4 linked regions of the Saccharomyces cerevisiae S288C genome follow. The protein of the gene in region 3 binds, or shares a complex with, the protein of the main gene of each other region. Each region holds a gene or a part of one and is shown on either strand. Other genes may lie near its edges. The genes, in order: SNF6, SWI1, SWI3 and SWP82. A codon is read from its position in the direction of its gene.

The links.
Region 1: the proteins of SWI3 (region 3) and SNF6 are in contact, whole or in part, in a cryo-EM structure (PDB 7C4J), measured with the Saccharomyces cerevisiae proteins. Residues at the interface, in NP_012359.1 of Saccharomyces cerevisiae: Ala544 (codon at 1,385), Phe613 (codon at 1,178), Leu617 (codon at 1,166), Val618 (codon at 1,163), Asn619 (codon at 1,160), Leu664 (codon at 1,025), Arg667 (codon at 1,016), Ser668 (codon at 1,013), Ile670 (codon at 1,007), Phe671 (codon at 1,004), Asn674 (codon at 995), Arg677 (codon at 986), Asn680 (codon at 977), Phe681 (codon at 974), Asn684 (codon at 965), Glu685 (codon at 962), Arg688 (codon at 953), Met691 (codon at 944), Glu692 (codon at 941), Asp695 (codon at 932), Arg712 (codon at 881), Leu715 (codon at 872), Glu716 (codon at 869), Gln719 (codon at 860), Glu720 (codon at 857), Leu722 (codon at 851), Leu723 (codon at 848), Arg726 (codon at 839), Leu727 (codon at 836), Asn730 (codon at 827); in NP_011838.1 of Saccharomyces cerevisiae: Met120 (codon at 1,175), Leu121 (codon at 1,172), Ser122 (codon at 1,169), Thr124 (codon at 1,163), Thr125 (codon at 1,160), Val126 (codon at 1,157), Pro127 (codon at 1,154), Cys128 (codon at 1,151), Asp129 (codon at 1,148), Ile131 (codon at 1,142), Lys133 (codon at 1,136), Ser134 (codon at 1,133), Arg135 (codon at 1,130), Leu136 (codon at 1,127), Phe137 (codon at 1,124), Ser138 (codon at 1,121), Lys140 (codon at 1,115), Thr141 (codon at 1,112), Tyr144 (codon at 1,103), Lys148 (codon at 1,091), Thr165 (codon at 1,040), Pro166 (codon at 1,037), Leu167 (codon at 1,034), Lys168 (codon at 1,031), Tyr169 (codon at 1,028), Thr170 (codon at 1,025), Leu172 (codon at 1,019), Ile173 (codon at 1,016), Ala176 (codon at 1,007), Glu177 (codon at 1,004).
Region 2: the proteins of SWI3 (region 3) and SWI1 are in contact, whole or in part, in a cryo-EM structure (PDB 7C4J), measured with the Saccharomyces cerevisiae proteins. Residues at the interface, in NP_012359.1 of Saccharomyces cerevisiae: Tyr310 (codon at 2,087), Ile322 (codon at 2,051), Gln325 (codon at 2,042), Ser326 (codon at 2,039), Leu327 (codon at 2,036), Pro328 (codon at 2,033), Arg380 (codon at 1,877), Lys383 (codon at 1,868), Phe384 (codon at 1,865), Lys387 (codon at 1,856), Trp388 (codon at 1,853), Pro419 (codon at 1,760), Arg420 (codon at 1,757), Gly421 (codon at 1,754), Leu422 (codon at 1,751), Phe425 (codon at 1,742), Leu598 (codon at 1,223), Pro599 (codon at 1,220), Phe600 (codon at 1,217), Ser601 (codon at 1,214), Glu604 (codon at 1,205), Asn605 (codon at 1,202), Lys702 (codon at 911), Glu705 (codon at 902), Lys706 (codon at 899), Glu709 (codon at 890), Leu710 (codon at 887), Lys713 (codon at 878), Glu716 (codon at 869), Arg717 (codon at 866); in NP_015309.1 of Saccharomyces cerevisiae: Arg670 (codon at 2,486), Leu671 (codon at 2,483), Lys672 (codon at 2,480), His673 (codon at 2,477), Tyr674 (codon at 2,474), Asn675 (codon at 2,471), Gly676 (codon at 2,468), Tyr677 (codon at 2,465), Pro694 (codon at 2,414), Phe696 (codon at 2,408), Leu697 (codon at 2,405), Glu701 (codon at 2,393), Leu702 (codon at 2,390), Gly703 (codon at 2,387), Gly720 (codon at 2,336), Glu721 (codon at 2,333), Thr724 (codon at 2,324), His792 (codon at 2,120), Asp793 (codon at 2,117), Met795 (codon at 2,111), Val796 (codon at 2,108), Asp797 (codon at 2,105), Ile799 (codon at 2,099), Phe800 (codon at 2,096), Val803 (codon at 2,087), Asn804 (codon at 2,084), Glu1197 (codon at 905), Lys1267 (codon at 695), Ala1270 (codon at 686), Ser1271 (codon at 683).
Region 4: the proteins of SWI3 (region 3) and SWP82 are in contact, whole or in part, in a cryo-EM structure (PDB 7EGM), measured with the Saccharomyces cerevisiae proteins. Residues at the interface, in NP_012359.1 of Saccharomyces cerevisiae: Ile299 (codon at 2,120), Pro300 (codon at 2,117), Gln301 (codon at 2,114), His303 (codon at 2,108), Arg345 (codon at 1,982), Asn348 (codon at 1,973), Phe349 (codon at 1,970), Asn352 (codon at 1,961), Ser353 (codon at 1,958), Leu356 (codon at 1,949), Asn357 (codon at 1,946), Asn359 (codon at 1,940), Glu360 (codon at 1,937), Tyr361 (codon at 1,934), Phe362 (codon at 1,931), Ser363 (codon at 1,928), Thr365 (codon at 1,922), Thr366 (codon at 1,919), Arg369 (codon at 1,910), Asn370 (codon at 1,907), Leu399 (codon at 1,820), Pro401 (codon at 1,814), Lys402 (codon at 1,811), Ile404 (codon at 1,805), Glu405 (codon at 1,802), Pro406 (codon at 1,799), Pro407 (codon at 1,796), Arg415 (codon at 1,772), His416 (codon at 1,769), Asp417 (codon at 1,766); in NP_116605.1 of Saccharomyces cerevisiae: Leu240 (codon at 1,684), Arg241 (codon at 1,681), Pro242 (codon at 1,678), Ser243 (codon at 1,675), Phe318 (codon at 1,450), Val320 (codon at 1,444), Tyr442 (codon at 1,078), Gly445 (codon at 1,069), Leu446 (codon at 1,066), Pro447 (codon at 1,063), Leu448 (codon at 1,060), Tyr449 (codon at 1,057), Glu450 (codon at 1,054), Thr453 (codon at 1,045), Glu456 (codon at 1,036), Arg457 (codon at 1,033), Glu468 (codon at 1,000), His471 (codon at 991), Leu472 (codon at 988), His473 (codon at 985), Asp474 (codon at 982), Ala475 (codon at 979), Val476 (codon at 976), Val478 (codon at 970), Asn479 (codon at 967), Thr480 (codon at 964), Leu482 (codon at 958), Gln483 (codon at 955), Arg486 (codon at 946), Lys487 (codon at 943).

What each region holds. Positions count from the first base shown.
Region 1 is NC_001140.6:52,926-56,382, reverse strand, and holds SNF6 (Snf6p), read right to left. Parts: upstream 1,533-3,457; coding exon 534-1,532; downstream 1-533. Other genes in the region: YHL026C (uncharacterized protein), read left to right, coding at 2,217-3,164; alkaline-responsive transcriptional regulator RIM101, read right to left, coding at 3,395-3,457. UniProt on the Saccharomyces cerevisiae protein: Involved in transcriptional activation. Component of the SWI/SNF complex, an ATP-dependent chromatin remodeling complex, which is required for the positive and negative regulation of gene expression of a large number of genes.
Region 2 is NC_001148.4:519,141-525,506, reverse strand, and holds SWI1 (Swi1p), read right to left. Parts: upstream 4,494-6,366; coding exon 549-4,493; downstream 1-548. Other genes in the region: IRC15 (Irc15p), read left to right, coding at 5,274-6,366. UniProt on the Saccharomyces cerevisiae protein: Involved in transcriptional activation. Component of the SWI/SNF complex, an ATP-dependent chromatin remodeling complex, which is required for the positive and negative regulation of gene expression of a large number of genes.
Region 3 is NC_001142.9:91,517-96,119, forward strand, and holds SWI3 (Swi3p), read right to left. Parts: upstream 3,015-4,603; coding exon 537-3,014; downstream 1-536. Other genes in the region: 60S ribosomal protein uL22 RPL17B, read left to right, coding at 1-141; KRE9 (Kre9p), read left to right, coding at 3,576-4,406. UniProt on the Saccharomyces cerevisiae protein: Involved in transcriptional activation. Component of the SWI/SNF complex, an ATP-dependent chromatin-remodeling complex, which is required for the positive and negative regulation of gene expression of a large number of genes.
Region 4 is NC_001138.5:34,790-39,203, reverse strand, and holds SWP82 (Swp82p), read right to left. Parts: upstream 2,402-4,414; coding exon 530-2,401; downstream 1-529. Other genes in the region: EMP47 (Emp47p), read left to right, coding at 1-361; putative Mg(2+) transporter ALR2, read left to right, coding at 3,356-4,414. UniProt on the Saccharomyces cerevisiae protein: Involved in transcriptional activation. Component of the SWI/SNF complex, an ATP-dependent chromatin remodeling complex, which is required for the positive and negative regulation of gene expression of a large number of genes.

The sequences.
Region 1 (3,457 bases), on a different chromosome or scaffold from region 3:
CTTGATCACAGCCGCCGAAACGTTAAGCGGGGATATAGAGTTTCATCGTGTTGTTTGCCACCCGTTATGGGCGGCTAATCAAACGGAATTTAGCTTAGTCCATGCCAAAAACGTCTTTAATCTACAGAAATCGTGTTGCATGATCCACAGTAAACGCACAGGAGGTTTTTTTTTTTCGGAGATAGGTCGTACTGCTTTTTCACTGGAGGAGAATGCAAGGGAAATGAGGCGGTGTTTACGACTGGCACATCTCGAGCCTTTCTTCGCGTCAGAGAGATGTGGGCCCCCGGAGCAAGGGGGTAACAACAGACCCTACACATTCAGTCAGCGCGCCACATCAACCAACGAATGAATTGTTTTGCAGGCACTGCTTCCTATAAGCAGTAGCTGCACAAATCCACTATGTCACAAGGAATACACAGAAAACAGTGAAGGGTCTATCTGATCTTACCTCCATACACATCCACATGTATAACTATACTAAATATGTAAAAGGAAAGTATATATTTCCAAGAAGTAGCCGCCCATGGCTATTAAAAAAATACAGCATCAAGATCTCCAAATTCATCGTCGAAATTGGTGTTGAACGGCTCATTGGAATAATCTCCGAACATGTTCTCCAGTGGGTCGTCAACCACGGCGGGTACTGGCTCCTTTTCCGTTGCAGTTGCATGAGGACTTTGCGAGGCAACTGTAGTCACTACTTGTTGCTGTTGCTGCAAATCTTGCTGCTGTTGCTGCTGCAAGCTGGCTTCGTCCTGTGCTTCACCTGCAGTTACTTCCTTCTGCCTGATACGCTCCTTGGCCTCGTGGTATTGCGCCAAAACATCCCTATAAGCATGCGTCCAGTAGTCCGCCGGCGCTTCGCGGAGATCTCCGCGGAGTTTACCCACCAGCGCAGGATCGTCACGATGTACGACCACGCCGTCCGGCTGGTACCTCAAATGACTATCTTGCTCGAAGACAGCATCTATCATATCCTTTGTGCTACGGCTTCCGTCCTCTGCCGCAGCTATAAGTTTTGTGTATTTAAGTGGCGTCAGAGGCTTTTCTTGCAACTCTGCCGCTTGTGTTTTCATTTCGTGTTGTTTTTGCATGAGATATCTTATTGTTTTTTCACTGAACAATCTGGACTTCTCAATTCTGTCGCACGGTACCGTGGTCAAACTCAGCATGTTAAATGCGTCGTTCGAGCTTATAAAGTTCTTCAAAAGGTTGGATCGGAACGATATCGTGTCGCTCTCGTCATGTATGATATTGCTGAGCTGTTCTGGTCTAAGTCGTACACGTTCGAAGTCCTGTCTTTGCTTATTAAGCTGTTGCTGCGCGTACGTAAGCGATCTGCCATTCATGCCGGCACTGGAGCCGCTGTATCCGTACTGATAGTTGTTTTCCTCCGCGAAGCTCGTCAACGACGGGATGTTATTGTTTATGGCGCCCATGCTGCCTACTCCCCCAACCTGTACCCCAGAGTAGTATTGTTGGCGCGAAGCCTTTCCATGGTGCGATCTTTTCTTCTTGATGACACCCATTATTTTACTACGTTTGTAAAATTCTCTTAAACGCTTTTCTTTCGCCTTTTTCGCCTTTAGCCTCCCCTTTCTGGATCAAACCTTGTTTCGTTGCTTCTCAACTTCATGTTTTTTCTCTCCCATCTTTTCCTTTGGATTTTCCGCGTGTGTTTTCTGACCGTTTGACGGAACAACCGTGGTGCATGACCGAACGTAGACCAACACATTGTGAGAACCTGTATGGTCCAGCCGCTGCCAACTAACCTGATAAATGAAGCACGTCGGCTACAAACGACGCATGTGCCTCTTTATGCCCTGCTTGTTCCAGTATTCGCATTCGTTTACTTACTTTTCTTGTTTGGATCTTGCCATTTTCGGTAATGTAATTGATTTTCACGGATAAGTTTACTTTTTTCTTTGCGGTTTTTCCCGCTTTCCTGATTCAATACTCTTCCTACACAAAAGTGGAAAAAAACAGGAAAAAAAAATAGTGCAGTCCACACTAGCATCACCTCCATCGCATTCCTTCATTGATATTTGCTGTATACGATTTGCATCGGCTTTTGAAAGATATAGTTTATCTGTCCTTGATCTAAAACCAATTTCTCCTCTTTCTTTCTTCAAGATGTTATAACCTTCCACCGGCACACATATATACGGATATATATGCATCAACACCCTTGAAAATAGACGCTCTTCACATATATGAAATCCTCAGAGCCAGCGCCAGCGACCCCGACCGGGTTCAGAAATTCCATCTGGTTCATCATCTTCTACCTTTTCGTCATCCAAGCGCTAGGTTCTGCAATAATCTCGGGCGGCATCGAGTTTGCCATCGCATATGCCATGTACCATTCCCGTGTAGATCTTATCACCTTATGGGCATTTCCTCACACCATTTCAGGCGATTGTGCACTAAGTTTATTCATCCAGGTGGGTCTTACATGGGCTAGCGAGGAAATTTTAGTTGGATTCGATGACTACAAGAGGCCTGTTTTCAGATTGAATAAATGGATTACGAAACCGTCACCACTGAAAACCGAATCTAACGAAGAAATACCACCCCCTAAAAAGCGTTTCATTGTGGATTACTTCGAATCCAAAGACAACGTCGTTGCGAAGCAGAACACTCTGTATCATAAGCATAATTGGCTCTTTGGCTATTTAGAGGTCAATAGAGGAATCATTCCCAAAGGTAAAGAAGCTACGTTGAAAGGTTTTCTCACATCTCAGTTCATTCATGATTCTACTCAGTCCAAATTCATGAACTTTATAGAATGGTTTGTGCAGAAATTCATCAGATCTATGATCCTAGCCATTGCCATGTTCATTGTCATTTGGCCAGTCACTATGGGTATCCTTGCTGGTATAGGCCATAAGGTCGGGTCCCACGACTACTACTTCAACGATTATCCACTACCGCAGGTCATGAAGTTGATTTATGCCGTTGTAATTGCCTTTGTATGCACTCCAGTGGCCATCATCGTCATTGTGTTGAGAAACCAGTTTCACGAGGAACTTTACTATGAAGGCTTAGCAAACGGTACGCTACAGCAGGATCAAGAAGTTTGCTCCACGGGTAATCGCAGCTCGGGATCAACCGATCAAGATATCAGTACTACCAAACAACAGTCTCAAGAAGCGGTAGCGTGAAGAAAAGCAACAAAAAAATAAAAGCATGTGCGAACTCTAGTTTAATACTTAATAAACTATTAATACTTTACAATTAGCAATCTATAATATACCCACCTTAACAAATAATTTTTCCTTTAACCATTGTTACCTTGTTTAATCCGCGACGCCGCGCTAGGGCATGTGTGATTTATTCATTTACTATACAGCCGCAAAGAAACAACTAAGAATAAAATATCCGACAATCCATATCATACCAAAATTTTGGGATACTTGGTCAAGATGCGAACTGAGTTAGTTCCCATTTGGTTTTG
Region 2 (6,366 bases), on a different chromosome or scaffold from region 3:
CAATGCAGCCAATTCATCTCAATACTGCGCCGAACAGCTTCTGAAGCGATCTTGACTTTGTGGGCAGCTTGAAATTTTCTTGGATGATTCTGTCCTATTTGAGCTTTACCTCCTCCCATCGAAAGGGCGAAGTCACACCGTTTTCAAAGGTGGAGTGTTACCCCACCCCCCACGCTGACTCCACATCTGACTCTCTACCGTTTTATTATAGCGAACGTTAACTCTGAATGTATGTGTGGTGTGTATGAATTGTATTTACTGCCTGAAATGGAGTCATAAACTCCTTTATACAATTTCAAGGAATTTTTGTAGCCGCGACGGGACCAGTGGGAAGTTACTAAAACCATTGTTTAGTTGAGCCGCCCAAGATGTGACTTCATGGCAGCTATACGTTCATTTGGGCTTTTGGCACTAAAGGCGCTCTTCCGACTGTATTGTTTCCATAAGGTCTATTATATTAGTTACAACATTTTATATAGGTTTATAAAAAGAAAATAGTGCGCAAGGAAGAAATAAGCAGTAAAAGAATATTGTTTAAAAAAATCGCATCATTCCAAATTGGTTAGGATATCATTTTTTAAATTGTAAAGTAATTGATACTGGTTTATTATTTGAATATCAACTGATGGATTAGTGAATAACTGGAAAATTTCTAAATCCGTGGGGAACAAATTTGGAATCGATGCTATTTTTTTTAATATTTCCGGGTCGTTGTTTAGGCAGTTTTCAAAACAAATACTTTTTTCAACCAAACATTTGATTAACTGAACACAGGATATGTTAATTGACGGTAGGAGCACCTTTGAATAATTTTGTTGCTGTAACAAAGTATTCTTACTTGTGGAATTGTTAATATTCAATATTATCTCACTTAACTTCAATAGTCCAGATCCAATATTTTCTTCAGAGCTCAACCACACAAATGGTAAATTCTTGTTGAAATTGAAGCTAGAATCTTTGTTGCCGTTATTGTTACTGTTACTGTCTGAATTATTCTCACTGATTTCAAATACTTCATTGGATAACGGCAATATTTTTTGTACAATGACTAAGATGCTAGTTAGACTCTGAGAAATTACCGGAGAAAATTGGTCGATCAGCAAACTTGGATCAGCTGATTGCGATAACACTTGCTGCAGCGGTATGGCAGAAAATAAAAACGAAACCACATCATTTAGCAAGTTGTGCCTATTGTTATTATTTTTATTGTTATCATTGTATAAATTCAAAAGTCTTCGTAACAACTTTTTGTCCTTGTGGTTGTTGTTACTGTTGCGATCATAGAGGTTGTTACCTGTGTTTTTGTTCAGAAGGATTGATTTGAAATAATTTAGGTTCGGTTTTTCCAATGAAAATAATTTGGCCAAAATATCTACACCGAAAGTTTGATATTTTCCCCATTGCAACTGGAATTCGTTGAAGGTCAAAGATTCAGAGCCAAATGATGACGAAGACGCCATTGGATTGAGTTTTGGTTGACCAAAACTTATGACTAGAATAAGAATTAACAAGCAATCAATGGACGAAGCGATCTCTAATAAATGAGAAATATTTGATAAAACAATAACCAAATCCTTCTTGAAATTTAGTATTTTCCTATTGCATGTAAAGTTTTCTGGATGGATTAAGACTAACCAAAGTAGATCAGATATAAATCTCTTTAGGTAAAAATTTCTCGACATGATTCTGGAGTTGTTATCGGAGAATGAAATATTCCTCAAAATCATCGAGATGGTAGACAGTTGATCGTTAATCAGAACTTTGGGATCCTCTGCCCCTCTGGTATTTATTTTTGTAAATGGATCATCAATTTCATCCTTGATTTTTTTCAAAGAAGTCAAATAAGGAGTTCTGTGAATTTTCAAAGGAAATTGGTTAGGGAGGAATCTTATTGGTTCAGGCAATAAGTCCCACTGTTTAACTGCGGGAGATGTCGACTGCATACTTATAAAACATTCAGTGTCGAGATCAGGCTCCATTTCAGTAGGAGTAGGGGTGGGCAATTGATTACCTGTTAAAGAATCTACCAGGATAGTGACTTTTTCATCGTTAGAATCATTCGGTGTAAGTGTAGCGTTGTTGTTTACCTTTTCAAAAATTTTATCAACCATTTTATCGTGTTGGGTAACATAGTATTGATTTGATCCAGCATCCTCATAATAATAGTCAGAAGTGTTTCGATGGTATGGAACAACATTTTGTGACAAATTTGACAGTAAATTCATGCCGAGTATTGCCAAGGAGTCTAATAATTCAGGGTATTTGACCAGAGATATTTTTAAGTTCGAGTCAGCGCTTGTGACCAACAAGGTGTTCAAGGCGGTGTTTATTTCTCCAAGATTCTTCGATTGGAGGGACATTGATAAAGCATGTAAATTAATTGCACCTAACTCTGGCGCGAAGAGAAAAATTGGCTTGTTGGAATCTATTTTCTCTCCTATTTTAGAGATGTAATTGATATCGTAACCATTGTAATGCTTGAGGCGGTTGATTAGGGGTTTGTAGTTCCTAACAATTGATCTCTTGTAGACTTTAGGCAATTTTTTTAGTTCGATTTCATATTGTTGACGTAATTTTGTCTCTAATAGCAATTTCTGTTGCCTTTGTTGATCCTCTAAAAGTTTTTGTTGTCGTTTCTGAAAATCCTCCCTTTCTTTACGTTCTAGTTCCAATTCCTTTTTGGTCTTTTTTTTCACTCTTTGCTTTCTTGGCTTCTTAACTTGCTGTTGGCCAATATTGTTATTATTTACGTTGATATTAATATTGCTATTCAAGCTTTTTGGAGTGTTTGCTGAAACCGGAACGATCCCTGCTTCTGTTCCTGGTGCTGCTGTAGCAGGAACGGACGCGCCAGGAGCCGCGGGGGTTGGTGCTGACGATGCACTATTAATGTTATTGTTGGCATTGGCCAATGCAGCGGCCTGCTGCTGTTGTTGAACTTTCTTCAATAGTTCTTGTAAGAACTGTTGCAAGAATATTCTTTTCGCTTGAGTTTCCTTTATACCTTCTTGGGAAATCATGTGTCTTTCGTAAGGTAATAAAATTCTAAAATAGATTGATTCTAATTGTTGGTAATCGGAAATTTGCAGCCTTTGGGCCACCATAGACCACTGTTGGGTCCTTGTTACTTGATCTGCACCACCGAATTTTTGAACCAACATATAAAGATAAAAAAGATTTATTTTTCTGTTGCCGATTTCTGGTATTGATTGTAACGGCATATTTCTTTTTTTACAGTTTTCAATCAAAGATTTCATAAAAAGTTCATATTGTTTGTTATTCAATTCAGTAGATATTTTCTCTTGTAATGCCGGGTTCAGACTTTGTAAAATAGATCTTTGTTGTTGCTGCCGTTGACTCTGCAAAAATTTGGGATTCTGTTGTTGCTGTTGTTGCTGTTGTGGTTGTTGATTTTGCTGTTGTTGATTTTGTTGCTGCTGCTGCTGCTGCTGTAGAGCCTGAAAACGTTGCTGCTGCTTTTGCTGCAAAGCGGCAAACATTGCAGCTCTTTCAGAGAACACTGTATTTGCGTTTGAAGTTGAATTATTGGTATTAGCGGGAGTTGCAGCAGGCACGGCAGTGACATTATTGTTATTGCTCGTTTTATTATTGCTGTTATTACGCATATTATGGTTATTACTGTTGTTGTTGTTGTCACTTGTGTTCGGAACAAATTCATTGCTTGCAGAGGATGATCTGTCCATTGAATTTGAAGCAGCGTAATTAGAAATAAGCTGGTTAGACGTCAAATTACCATTATTGGAAGCACTGTTATTGAATGGCAAAAATTGTTGATTTGCATTCGGAGTAGAGTTAGAGTTTGTGTTCGGAGTAGAAGATGAGGAATTTTGACTGATGGATTGAACATTGGTGATAAAATGGGGTGTTATTACATTATCGTTCGCAATTCCGGTGCTATTATTATTATTGTTACCGCCATATAGCTGTTGTTGAGCTTGAAGAGGTAAATTGGAAGAATCAATGATTGAATTCTTGGCTAAAATAGCCTGAGGAGACAGGCTGTTTAAATTTGTGTTGGAATTGTTTGAGTCATATGGAGAATTGAATTGGGGAGACTGGTTCTGAATGAAATTAGCAGCTTTTCCACCGGTAACATTAGCAGGAGCGGCATTATTAACGACTGCTGTTGGAGAAGTAAAGTTCGTGCTGGAGGCTACCGTGTTACTGTTATTGTTATCATTGTTATTACTATTACTGTTGTTATTGTTGGAATCCAAATTCTGGTCAAAAGGTTTTGGGTCGAAAAAATTCTGAAAATCGTCTACACCACTGGCTCCGGTATTCGTATTGTTGTTATTAGTATTGTTATTAGTATTACTACTATGGCCTGTGCTATTGTTGTTATTGGTATTATTAGCAGGATTATTATTATTATTAGTATTATTATTATTAGTATTATTGTTATTGGTAGTAGTAGTAGTAGTAGTAGTATTATTATTATTATTATTATTATTCAAATTAAAGAAATCCATCTTTATTTATTACTATTTTTATTATTACTATTTTTATTATTATTATTATTATTATTATTATAAGACACGAAAAGAAAGAAAATAGAGATAGAAAAAGAAAATTTTAAGAATAATGAGTGTAATAGGAAAATAGCCGCCAGTCAGTGATTATTACCTGGTGAACAATAATCTGCAATCCGTGAGAGGAAACAACGCGAAATGCCAAAGCAGAGATGGTGTAATAAGGATAGAGCCACACAACAATACTTTCTAGAAAAATAAATAATAAAAAAATAAGGTAAACAAAGTGTAATCAGTTGCCTTGCCGTATAGTGTTTTGCGGTATAAATATTGTTATTCAATACGAATGATGAATACCGGAAGGTGGTTATGACTAAAACGCAATGTGAATATGATTACAACTGGCAACAACCACAACAGAAACAACAATAATGCATAGTGGTAATAATACGTAAAGTCAATCAGCGTTCAGTTTTAAAAAAAATCTTTTCTCGGTGCTTTGGGGAAGGAGGGGTGGCGTCGTTTCGTAATCGGAGATACCCAAAGTTCATATCACGATAAACGTCAGTTCCGGGTTAGAATAAATTTATGCGGTAGTTTCTGTGCGAACTTGAGTGCGGTGGCATTTTCCTCCGGCGAGGCCTGGGTGGAACACTCAGGCAGGGGGTACACCCAGACCTGCAGGCATGCATCTGCTGTTTCGGCGGCTATTTAACATGCGCACGATTTTACGAGAGGAGAAGAGAAGTATGATATAATTAACGGTGAGCATTTTTGGTAATGGGAGGTGAAGACGAAATATTAAGCACGATGGAGGATTTTGCGGCAGTTTACGATGTCCTGGTAATTGGTTGCGGGCCTGGTGGCTTTACTGCAGCGATGCAGGCTTCGCAAGCAGGCCTGCTCACAGCATGTGTTGACCAGCGTGCCTCGCTGGGGGGCGCCTACCTTGTAGACGGGGCAGTCCCGTCCAAGACCTTGTTATATGAGTCTTATCTTTATCGGCTGCTACAACAGCAAGAACTTATCGAGCAACGTGGCACGCGGCTGTTTCCTGCAAAATTCGATATGCAGGCGGCCCAGAGTGCACTCAAACATAATATAGAAGAGTTGGGCAATGTGTATAAACGTGAGCTATCTAAAAATAATGTTACTGTGTATAAAGGCACGGCTGCTTTCAAAGATCCTCACCACGTTGAGATTGCGCAGCGCGGCATGAAACCGTTCATCGTAGAGGCGAAATATATTGTTGTGGCGACCGGATCTGCGGTTATTCAGTGTCCTGGTGTTGCAATAGATAATGACAAGATAATTTCATCTGATAAGGCATTGTCACTGGATTATATACCTTCACGTTTTACTATCATGGGAGGAGGTACAATTGGACTAGAAATCGCATGCATATTCAATAATTTGGGCTCTCGGGTTACTATCGTTGAATCTCAAAGCGAGATCTGTCAAAATATGGACAATGAGTTGGCTTCTGCCACGAAGACCCTCTTGCAGTGTCAGGGTATAGCTTTTCTTTTAGACACTAGAGTGCAGCTCGCGGAAGCCGATGCTGCCGGTCAGCTGAACATCACCTTGCTTAACAAGGTGTCAAAGAAAACATATGTACATCATTGCGACGTCTTGATGGTTTCTATTGGTAGACGTCCCCTGCTAAAAGGTTTAGATATTTCCAGCATTGGTCTAGACGAACGGGATTTTGTAGAAAATGTTGACGTACAAACCCAAAGTCTGCTAAAGTACCCTCATATTAAACCCATAGGAGACGTTACATTGGGCCCCATGCTGGCGCTGAAAGCGGAAGAACAAGCTATAAGGGCCATTCAATCAATAGGCTGTACAGGCTCCGACGGAACCTCGAATT
Region 3 (4,603 bases):
TACGAATCTTCTCCATCTCACATTGAATTGGTTGTTACCGAAAAGGAAGAAGCTGTCGCCAAGGCTGCTGAAAAGAAGGTTGTCAGATTGACTTCTAGACAAAGAGGTAGAATTGCTGCCCAAAAACGTATCTCTGCTTAAATGCTTTTTTAATTTTAAAATCTTTTAAAGTGAATATTTGATTTATATACTACTATATACTAATTTGTTTAGGCCAATACACAGAATCAAAATCAAACTAAGAACAACACAGAACAAGAAAAATAACTTTTGATAAAGGCTCTTTTAAATAAAAAAAATAGAAAAAATAGAAAATAACACAATTATAGATATATATCTACATGTACATAACATGTCTAGTCGAATCTAGAGAAATGGGATAAAAATCAGAGAGAAGCCAAGTCAAGTGACGCACCATTAAAGAAATGAACCTAGAAGAAAGAAAATAAGCAAAAATATAGAGCGAAACAAAATAGAAAGTGTTACTAATGAAGAATAATTACAACAAAAACAAAAATGATCTCCATGTGTCATTGTTATGCCGACCAATACCTGTAAAATTGAGGTGCTTCAATAGAAATGGGTTTGACATCATTCTCGTTAGATATACTTTGGCCATTATGGTTTTCACCTGTTTCAATATTAGGTTTGTTAAATGGATTCTTTCCAATACTTAAAGTTTCAGGTTTCGATAGCATACTTTTGAAATGGTCTATCTGCGACCTGATTTCCTCCTTCTCCGCCACTGAACTATTATTGATATTGCTGTCGGATATTAAATTCAAGCATTTGCTTAAAACGTTTACAATCTTGCTGGAGTTTTGGTTGAAGTTCAATCTCTGAATTAGTAAGTTTTCCTGTTGTCTTTCTAGGGTTTTCCTTTCTAGCTCCATAAATTTTTCTAGTTTCTTTAAATGATTTAATTTAGCGTCCAATTTTTCCATTTGAAGTCTTATTAGCTCGTTAGTCAAAAAATTCATTTGCCTTTCCTCGTTGGTAGCGAAAATATGACTCCTATAACCCAATGATGATATGGCAATTTCTGAACCTTCTTTAATATGTTCAATTGGCTTTTGGTCAGAGATTTCCTCTTTTTGTGATTTTATTGATTCTGCGGACTGAATGGCTCTCTGGGTCATCGACTGTACAGTCTTCGGATTGACCAAACCCACCAAGAATGCTATTGTTGATAAAACGGGGTTTTCGCTCTTCGAAAATGGCAAGTGAGGAGCATATTTCAAAGGTCCTAACCCGTTGTCATTATCACCCTTGCCATTGCCGTCACCGTATAAAAATTTATCTTCAATGGGCAATTGAAGGAAACGTAAGATACACTGTTCAGGCGACTTATTGCCAACGTTTTTGGCCACTTTGTACCAGTCAGCGCCGAATTCTTGTATTCCCTTTAATAGCTTTTGCAAATCTTCTTTTGACCAATTTTCATCAATTTGTTCTAGAATTTTGACTTTTTTCAGAGGACGTGAAGTTTCGCCTTCTTCCAATAGATTGGCATCACCAGTCATGCTTGTTGACGTACTTACTTCATTGTTCATTTTACCACCATTATCATTTTTGTCACCATTTTCATCATCAGTGGTACTGGGGGGGTGAGTTATTTCATCATATTTTCTTTTGCTTTCTTTCAAATATTTATATAAAGTACTCTCCGAATCACTAGTGTTCATCATTTTTTTAAGCTTTGCCATATCCGGCAGTTGTACAGATGGTTTGTAACTTTCGAATGGGAATAGTCCTCTGGGGGCATCATGCCTTGTGGAATATTGAGACGTTAGTGGGGGTTCGATGTTCTTAGGTAATAGTTTGGAGTCAACCTGATAGTTTATTAGCCCCCATTTTGTTAAGAATTTATGCAATCTGAATAATGCAGCAGCATCACCAGAGACGTTTCTCCTCGCCGTAGTGACACTGAAATATTCGTTGGGGTTCAGCCTGTAAGAATTTACCATGAAGTTTCTGTATCTCATGTAAACTTCAGGTGTCTTTGATGGAATCCTATTGGTGAAAAATTCAGGTAACGATTGAACTTCAATGGAATGAATTTTTTCTAGATTGAACCATTTAGAATAACTTGGAATAACAATTTCATGTGCTTGCGGTATCTCAAAAGTTTCGGGTTCTACTCTGGTGATAGTGGTTTTCTTTGGATTGGCACTTTTGGAGTGATCGTTCATGATTTCACGTTCCTGTTCGTTTCTCTCTTCGCCACTATCTACCTTCTTATCTACACTTTCCGTCTTTTCTATGATATCCTCCTGTTCAGCTTTATGCGCATCTGGAATTTCAGATGGAGTATTAGCAACCGACGAAGTGTTGCCTAGTTGTTTAGACTCACTCTTTGTGTCTCCAAAAATGGAATTATCAGGACTAATCATCGGTTGATCGTCATCCTCATCATCTTCTTCCACTTCATCCATTTCCTTTGTGTTCTCATCTGGCTGACTTTCTTCTTTGACACCTTCAATAACAGTGTTATTCTCTGGTTCTTCCTCTTTTTGTATTTTGACGTCCTCCATGTTTTTAACGTCACCATTTGAATCCTGTATTGTGCTGTCTTCCTTAATAGCAGGCTTATTGTTTTCATTGTCTACCGGGTTCGTAGGTATACTAGGAGTGTTTGCCTCATTGTTCGAAACAGAACTCTCGGTTTCGCCAAAGAGATTATCACTATCCTCATTATCTTGGCCAAAGACGTTCTGGGCCCTGCTTTCTTCTGTAGAAGGTGTTTCCTGGGAATCTAGCTTATTCGCTTGCATAGTCGGCTGCTGCTTTGCCGTTACCGTTATCGCCTCACTTTCTGCATCGCGTGTGTTCGGAACAGTTGCTTCATCCTTCAGAGACTCATCTTGTTGCTGCGATTCTTCACCAGCAGTATCTGTATTGGCAACCCCTGCCACAGCTGCATTAGCGTTGCTATCACTATTGTTGTCATTGCCATGTTGGTCCACGTCCACGGAAGCGTTTACCGTGGACCCCTCACCCAGTGTATTCTCCATGCTTGCAAACCGTATCACAATTGGTCTCTGAACGCGCCTCGATGTACCAATATATCGCGCCTTGCATGGCCTTTACACATTCCTCTTGCGTATCTGATATAGTTTGTTTTCGTCTTTTCGCCAATGGCCTAAACGCCAAACGTCCGGCCTCGTTATTCGTGATGCCTACTTAATGGCTCTTAAATCGAATTTAAACTAGCTCAAAAGTAATCAATTCAAACTAAAATAACATCATTGGCCATCCTGAATTGTTGGATGCCATCTAAACTGCGTATTGACCATTATTCCATCGTAACCACGGCGGTTCAATATAATATCACTTTTGACGATTAGGTGTTTTATTTACATTTCTTTTTTTTTTTCCTCGAAAAAGATCTTCAAGGATAATACAGGAATAGAACAGGAGTCTCAAAGCATTCTTGAAGCCAGATTTGCTCCAGTTTGATAGTTCCAAGAAGCGCTAAAAGTGGCAGTTCACACTTTGTTTTGATTACTAGGAATCTACTCTTTCGCTTTTTACTTCCTTCTCAGAGAATCAGCAACTGTGACATATTATAGATAATGCGTTTACAAAGAAATTCCATCATATGTGCTTTGGTGTTTTTAGTCTCATTTGTGCTGGGAGATGTGAATATTGTTTCCCCCAGCTCCAAGGCAACATTCAGTCCAAGTGGTGGTACTGTCTCTGTTCCCGTTGAATGGATGGATAATGGGGCATATCCCTCGTTAAGCAAGATTTCAACTTTCACGTTCAGTCTTTGTACTGGTCCTAATAACAACATTGACTGTGTGGCCGTACTTGCCAGTAAAATTACTCCAAGTGAGCTAACACAAGATGATAAAGTTTACTCTTACACAGCTGAGTTTGCTTCGACCTTAACTGGGAACGGTCAATATTACATTCAAGTTTTTGCCCAGGTGGACGGTCAAGGTTACACTATCCATTATACACCAAGATTCCAGTTGACTTCCATGGGCGGTGTTACGGCTTATACATATAGTGCCACAACTGAACCTACTCCCCAGACTTCTATTCAAACAACCACTACAAACAACGCCCAAGCCACTACTATTGACAGTCGTTCATTTACTGTTCCGTACACCAAGCAGACTGGTACGTCGCGTTTCGCTCCAATGCAAATGCAGCCAAATACTAAAGTGACCGCTACCACATGGACAAGGAAATTTGCCACTAGTGCTGTGACATATTACTCTACCTTTGGGTCATTGCCAGAGCAAGCAACTACGATAACTCCTGGCTGGTCTTATACGATATCATCGGGAGTAAACTACGCTACTCCTGCATCTATGCCTTCAGATAATGGTGGTTGGTACAAACCATCCAAGAGATTGTCTTTGTCTGCAAGGAAAATCAACATGAGAAAAGTATGAAAAATAGACGGCTTCTACTATCATCATTACAGTAAGGGTTGAAGTCAGGAAAGGTTAAAAATAAAATAAATATCAAAAAGTTTTTAGCGGAAGGCGTTAAGGCAGCAAGTACACATTCATTTATCTATCTATACATCTATAAACACAACTACAATTTTTTTAGAAATGGAATTTATTATATGAAGGGAAGACATATA
Region 4 (4,414 bases), on a different chromosome or scaffold from region 3:
GCTAAATGATGTCATTAAGGTCCAACAAGAGCTATTATCATTCATGACTACGATAACTAAACAGCTCTCTTCTAAGCCACCAGCTAATAATGAAAAGGGAACGTCCACCGATGATGCAATCGCTGAGGATAAAGAAAATTTCAAAGACTTCTTATCAATCAATCAGAAATTGGAGAAAGTCCTGGTTGAACAAGAAAAGTATAGGGAAGCTACCAAACGTCATGGACAAGATGGTCCTCAGGTCGACGAAATTGCCAGAAAACTAATGATTTGGTTACTTCCATTAATTTTCATTATGTTGGTTATGGCATATTACACATTCAGAATCAGACAAGAGATCATAAAGACCAAACTGCTATGATTTTGGATTATTCCTTCCACTCAAACCAATTGTGCACATGCATTCCCTATATATGTATATATATGTAACAATACATATTTTATAAAATAACGAACGATAGTTTATATTACTACTTCAACAATGGTTTATTTCTTATTGGAGTGTTCCCTACATTATGTTTTACTTCTTTCAATTATTCATAGCTACTTCGTTGCTGAAGTTAGCCAGGTTGTCCGGTTTAGCGGCGACCGGATCCGTCGCCACCACTGGATTAGCATTTGTGTTCTTTACTTCAGTGTCCAGCTTAACAGCCGTTTTATCCCCAGCGACATTTTGTGGTACTTTGTTCACATGAGAATAAATGTATGGAGGTTTAAAATCCTTAATGTTACAATTTCCTAGGAAGTTTGGGTTCGGTACCCTCTTTGTTGTTATTGTTTCATCCGTATTCGTTATTTCGTTAAAATTTGTAGTAACACTCGTTTGCGCCAACACATCTTTCAAATATTTATTTTTGAATTCATCCAATTGAGACCGTTTCAAACCGATAGGAATACCTGCCTTGTACTGCCAGTACTTTTTCCATTTTTTTGTCCTAACTTTTCTAACGTTCTGCAAACCGGTATTAACAAAAACGGCATCGTGTAAATGCTCTAGTTCTTTAATTTCGTTCGGTGTCAGCTGTTTCAACCTTTCTAGCAGCGTGTTTTTTTCATATAACGGCAATCCTCTATAATATTGCTGTTTACCTGAATTCTCGGCGGATTTTAATGGCAAAGATTCAAATTTCCAGCCGTTTATGTTTAACGATGTATTATTTTTGTGTTGGCCCTTGTTCATGGGTTTTATCATTTCGTTCTCCTCAGACTTCTTGTTTTTTGATGAGGAAACGTTAATATCAAGAATGCTACTTAGCATTCGTTTGATTGGTTTATTGCTAGGATTGACAGATGGAATATGGTTAGGAAGTGAAATTGAAGCGGAACCATCAGGAGCTTGACTTTCATATTGCGCAAGTAATTCTTCATGTCTTCCGATTGGTATGTCCATTGCCTTCATTTGCAGAGCTTGTTGAAATGAGTTTTTGCTGTGATAACGCGGTACTCTAAATTGTGCACTGAGTTCCAATGTTCCACTAATGCTTTGACCAGGAACAATTGCCGAAATGTGCTCACCTTTGGCAAAGTTTTCAATATAGGCTTCTCTAATCTCCGCTGACGGTTGTTCCGTGACTATTGGATACTGTGATTCGAATTTTGAAGTAGAAATCGTACAGGTATTATTAGTGTTCGCACTAATTTCATTGGCATTGCTAATCCTGTTATTTTGGAAGGAGGGGCGTAAAAGTGAGATTTTAGAAATTAAATTTGTTGATAATTTGAAAACCCTTTGGTGAGACGACAAATTTTGCTTTTTAGCTAAAGATTCCCAATAATCATCAACGATGCGTTGACCACCGGCAATAACAGAAGCACCGAATTCAACAAAGGCTGACCTGGCAGTTATATACTTAAAAGATCCTTTGGATTCTTCAGGAATGACACCATTTTTGGCCAAAAATTTTGTTTGTTCCTCAGAAGTTTCCATTACCAGAATTTGATCATGCTGGACAATAAACTCGTCCTCGTCATGCGTTGCGTTGCTTTGGTATAACACTTTAATGACATCTTGTAAAAGTACCAGAAGAACACCCATATGAGCCGTGAATGTGAAGGTGTTGAACAAATAATGTCTACCGCCAAATAATTCACCGTTCGAACCCACTTTTTTCTCACCATAAGCATCCAATTGTATCATCTTGTAGGATGTATTAGTAGCGTCTCTCGTCTTAAGTTCATCTATATATTTCGGTAATTCTAATTTTTTGTAGGGAAATTTGTCTAAGGGAGGTTGAACCAATTCATCTTGATCCAGGATTTGCAGAATTTGCTTAAGTATCACTCTTTCATGTTCTCTGATAAGTATTTTGGGTACTATAAATACAGCTCCAACCTCTCCTTGTTTTACAGAAGGATTATTTCCCTTTTCAAGAACGGTATTCCCTTCATCTTCGCCAAGCATATTCGTCTCTCTTTAAAACGCCCTTTGTTTTGGTTCTTCTTCCTACTTTTTTTATTTATAGTATTATACATTCCATGTTTTTCTTGTTTTTACATTGAGAAAAGTCCAGAAAGGGAAAAGTGATGGTTCGAAAAAAAAATATAGACGGCTGAAACTACAACTATATTTAATGCACAGGGCCACTTTCTGAACGGCTAATCTTTCCATGTCAGGATATATTTCCGTTGTACTTGACGAGGTCATAATACTCTGAAAATTTTTTTAGATACGACAAATATATCAGCTGCTAAACTCCTTTATGGATGTGTTGAAGGGAACACTTATCGCTTATTCTTCCTACGTGCTAGATTCCGTAACTGAGCTGTACTTCCCACATCGTAGTTGCCTAAATGTGAGAAACAAGAAGTGCCCTTCGTGCTTAGACCGTGGATATCATATATGTGAAGGTTGACAGTTCTTCCAAGTTTCAACAAACTATGCAAGACCTCCATTAATTTATACGCACATTCATTTGACAGAGGCCCTGTATACAAGAAGTACAGACAAAACTAACCGTTGTCCATATCCTACTATCAAACTATTCTTTCAGGTACGTTTTTACTGCCTGACCGGCTATAAGTTACAAAAGCGACTCCTTGAGATAAAAATTTTCTTCGAAAAATGCAGCATTTGGTTTGGCTGTTCACGAAAGTGGCTGCTTCCAGAGAAATCAGGTTTTCCTCGAGCATATGATATTTTAACGTAGAGGTTTATATTATAAAAGTGGAAAGGTAAAATCAACAGCGTTTATTTCCTCTATTCAATGTTCAGCAAGGACGGTAGAGACTACTATTGCTAAACAATTACTTACATGGAAATGTACTGTCAGTTGGATAAAAAAATCGACAGGAATATATTTTAATCACCTTTATAGAAGTACTGAATTTTTATGAGAAAACGTGAAAAAACTTCGTAATGTCGTCCTTATCCACTTCATTTGATTCATCGTCAGATTTACCAAGGTCAAAATCCGTTGACAATACGGCGGCTTCCATGAAGACAGGCAAGTACCCAAAATTAGAGAACTATAGGCAGTATTCTGATGCACAACCAATACGTCACGAAGCGCTTGCATTGAAAGTGGACGAAACGAAAGATTCTAGACACAAATTTAGTTCCTCTAACGGGGAGAATAGTGGAGTGGAAAATGGAGGCTATGTGGAGAAAACGAATATATCCACAAGTGGCCGCATGGATTTTGAAGGTGAAGCAGAAGCAGAAGCAGTGAAACGTTACCAGTTAAGATCTTTCGCGCTTTTAAGTTCTAATGCGAGGCCATCCAGGCTAGCAAAGTCTGAAACTCACCAAAAGCAGATTCATGTAGAGAGCATCGCTCCCTCTTTGCCAAAGAATGCGGCTTTAGAGAGAGGCCATGATACGGCGTTACCTGCCGGTACGTCAAGTAACAGATGCAACTTAGAAGCCTCCTCCTCGGCAAGAACTTTTACAAGCGCTCGTAAGGCTTCGCTAGTTAGCGCAATCTTTGAAACATCGGCTGAATCAGAGCATGGTACGCATCCCAAACAGGCGAAACTTAAGAGAAGAACCTATTCTACAATATCGACACATTCATCAGTCAATCCTACAACGTTGTTGACAAGAACTGCATCGCAAAAGTCCGATATGGGAAATGACACACGAAGAATTAAACCGTTACGTATGGATAGCAGGGTATCTTTCCATAGTGAGATATCGCAAGCATCCAGGGATTCTCAAGAAACAGAAGAAGACGTTTGTTTTCCAATGTTTCGACTATTACATACAAGAGTTAATGGTGTTGATTTTGATGAGTTGGAAGAATATGCCCAGATTTCAAATGCTGAAAGAAATCTGTCTTTGGCGAACCATCAAAGGCACAGTGAACGAACATACAATCATACCGACCAAGATACTGGATTTACTAACTCTGCTTCCACTTCAGGATCCTCAGCAGCTCTGAAATATACACCTGAAATTTCACGGACTCTTGAAAAA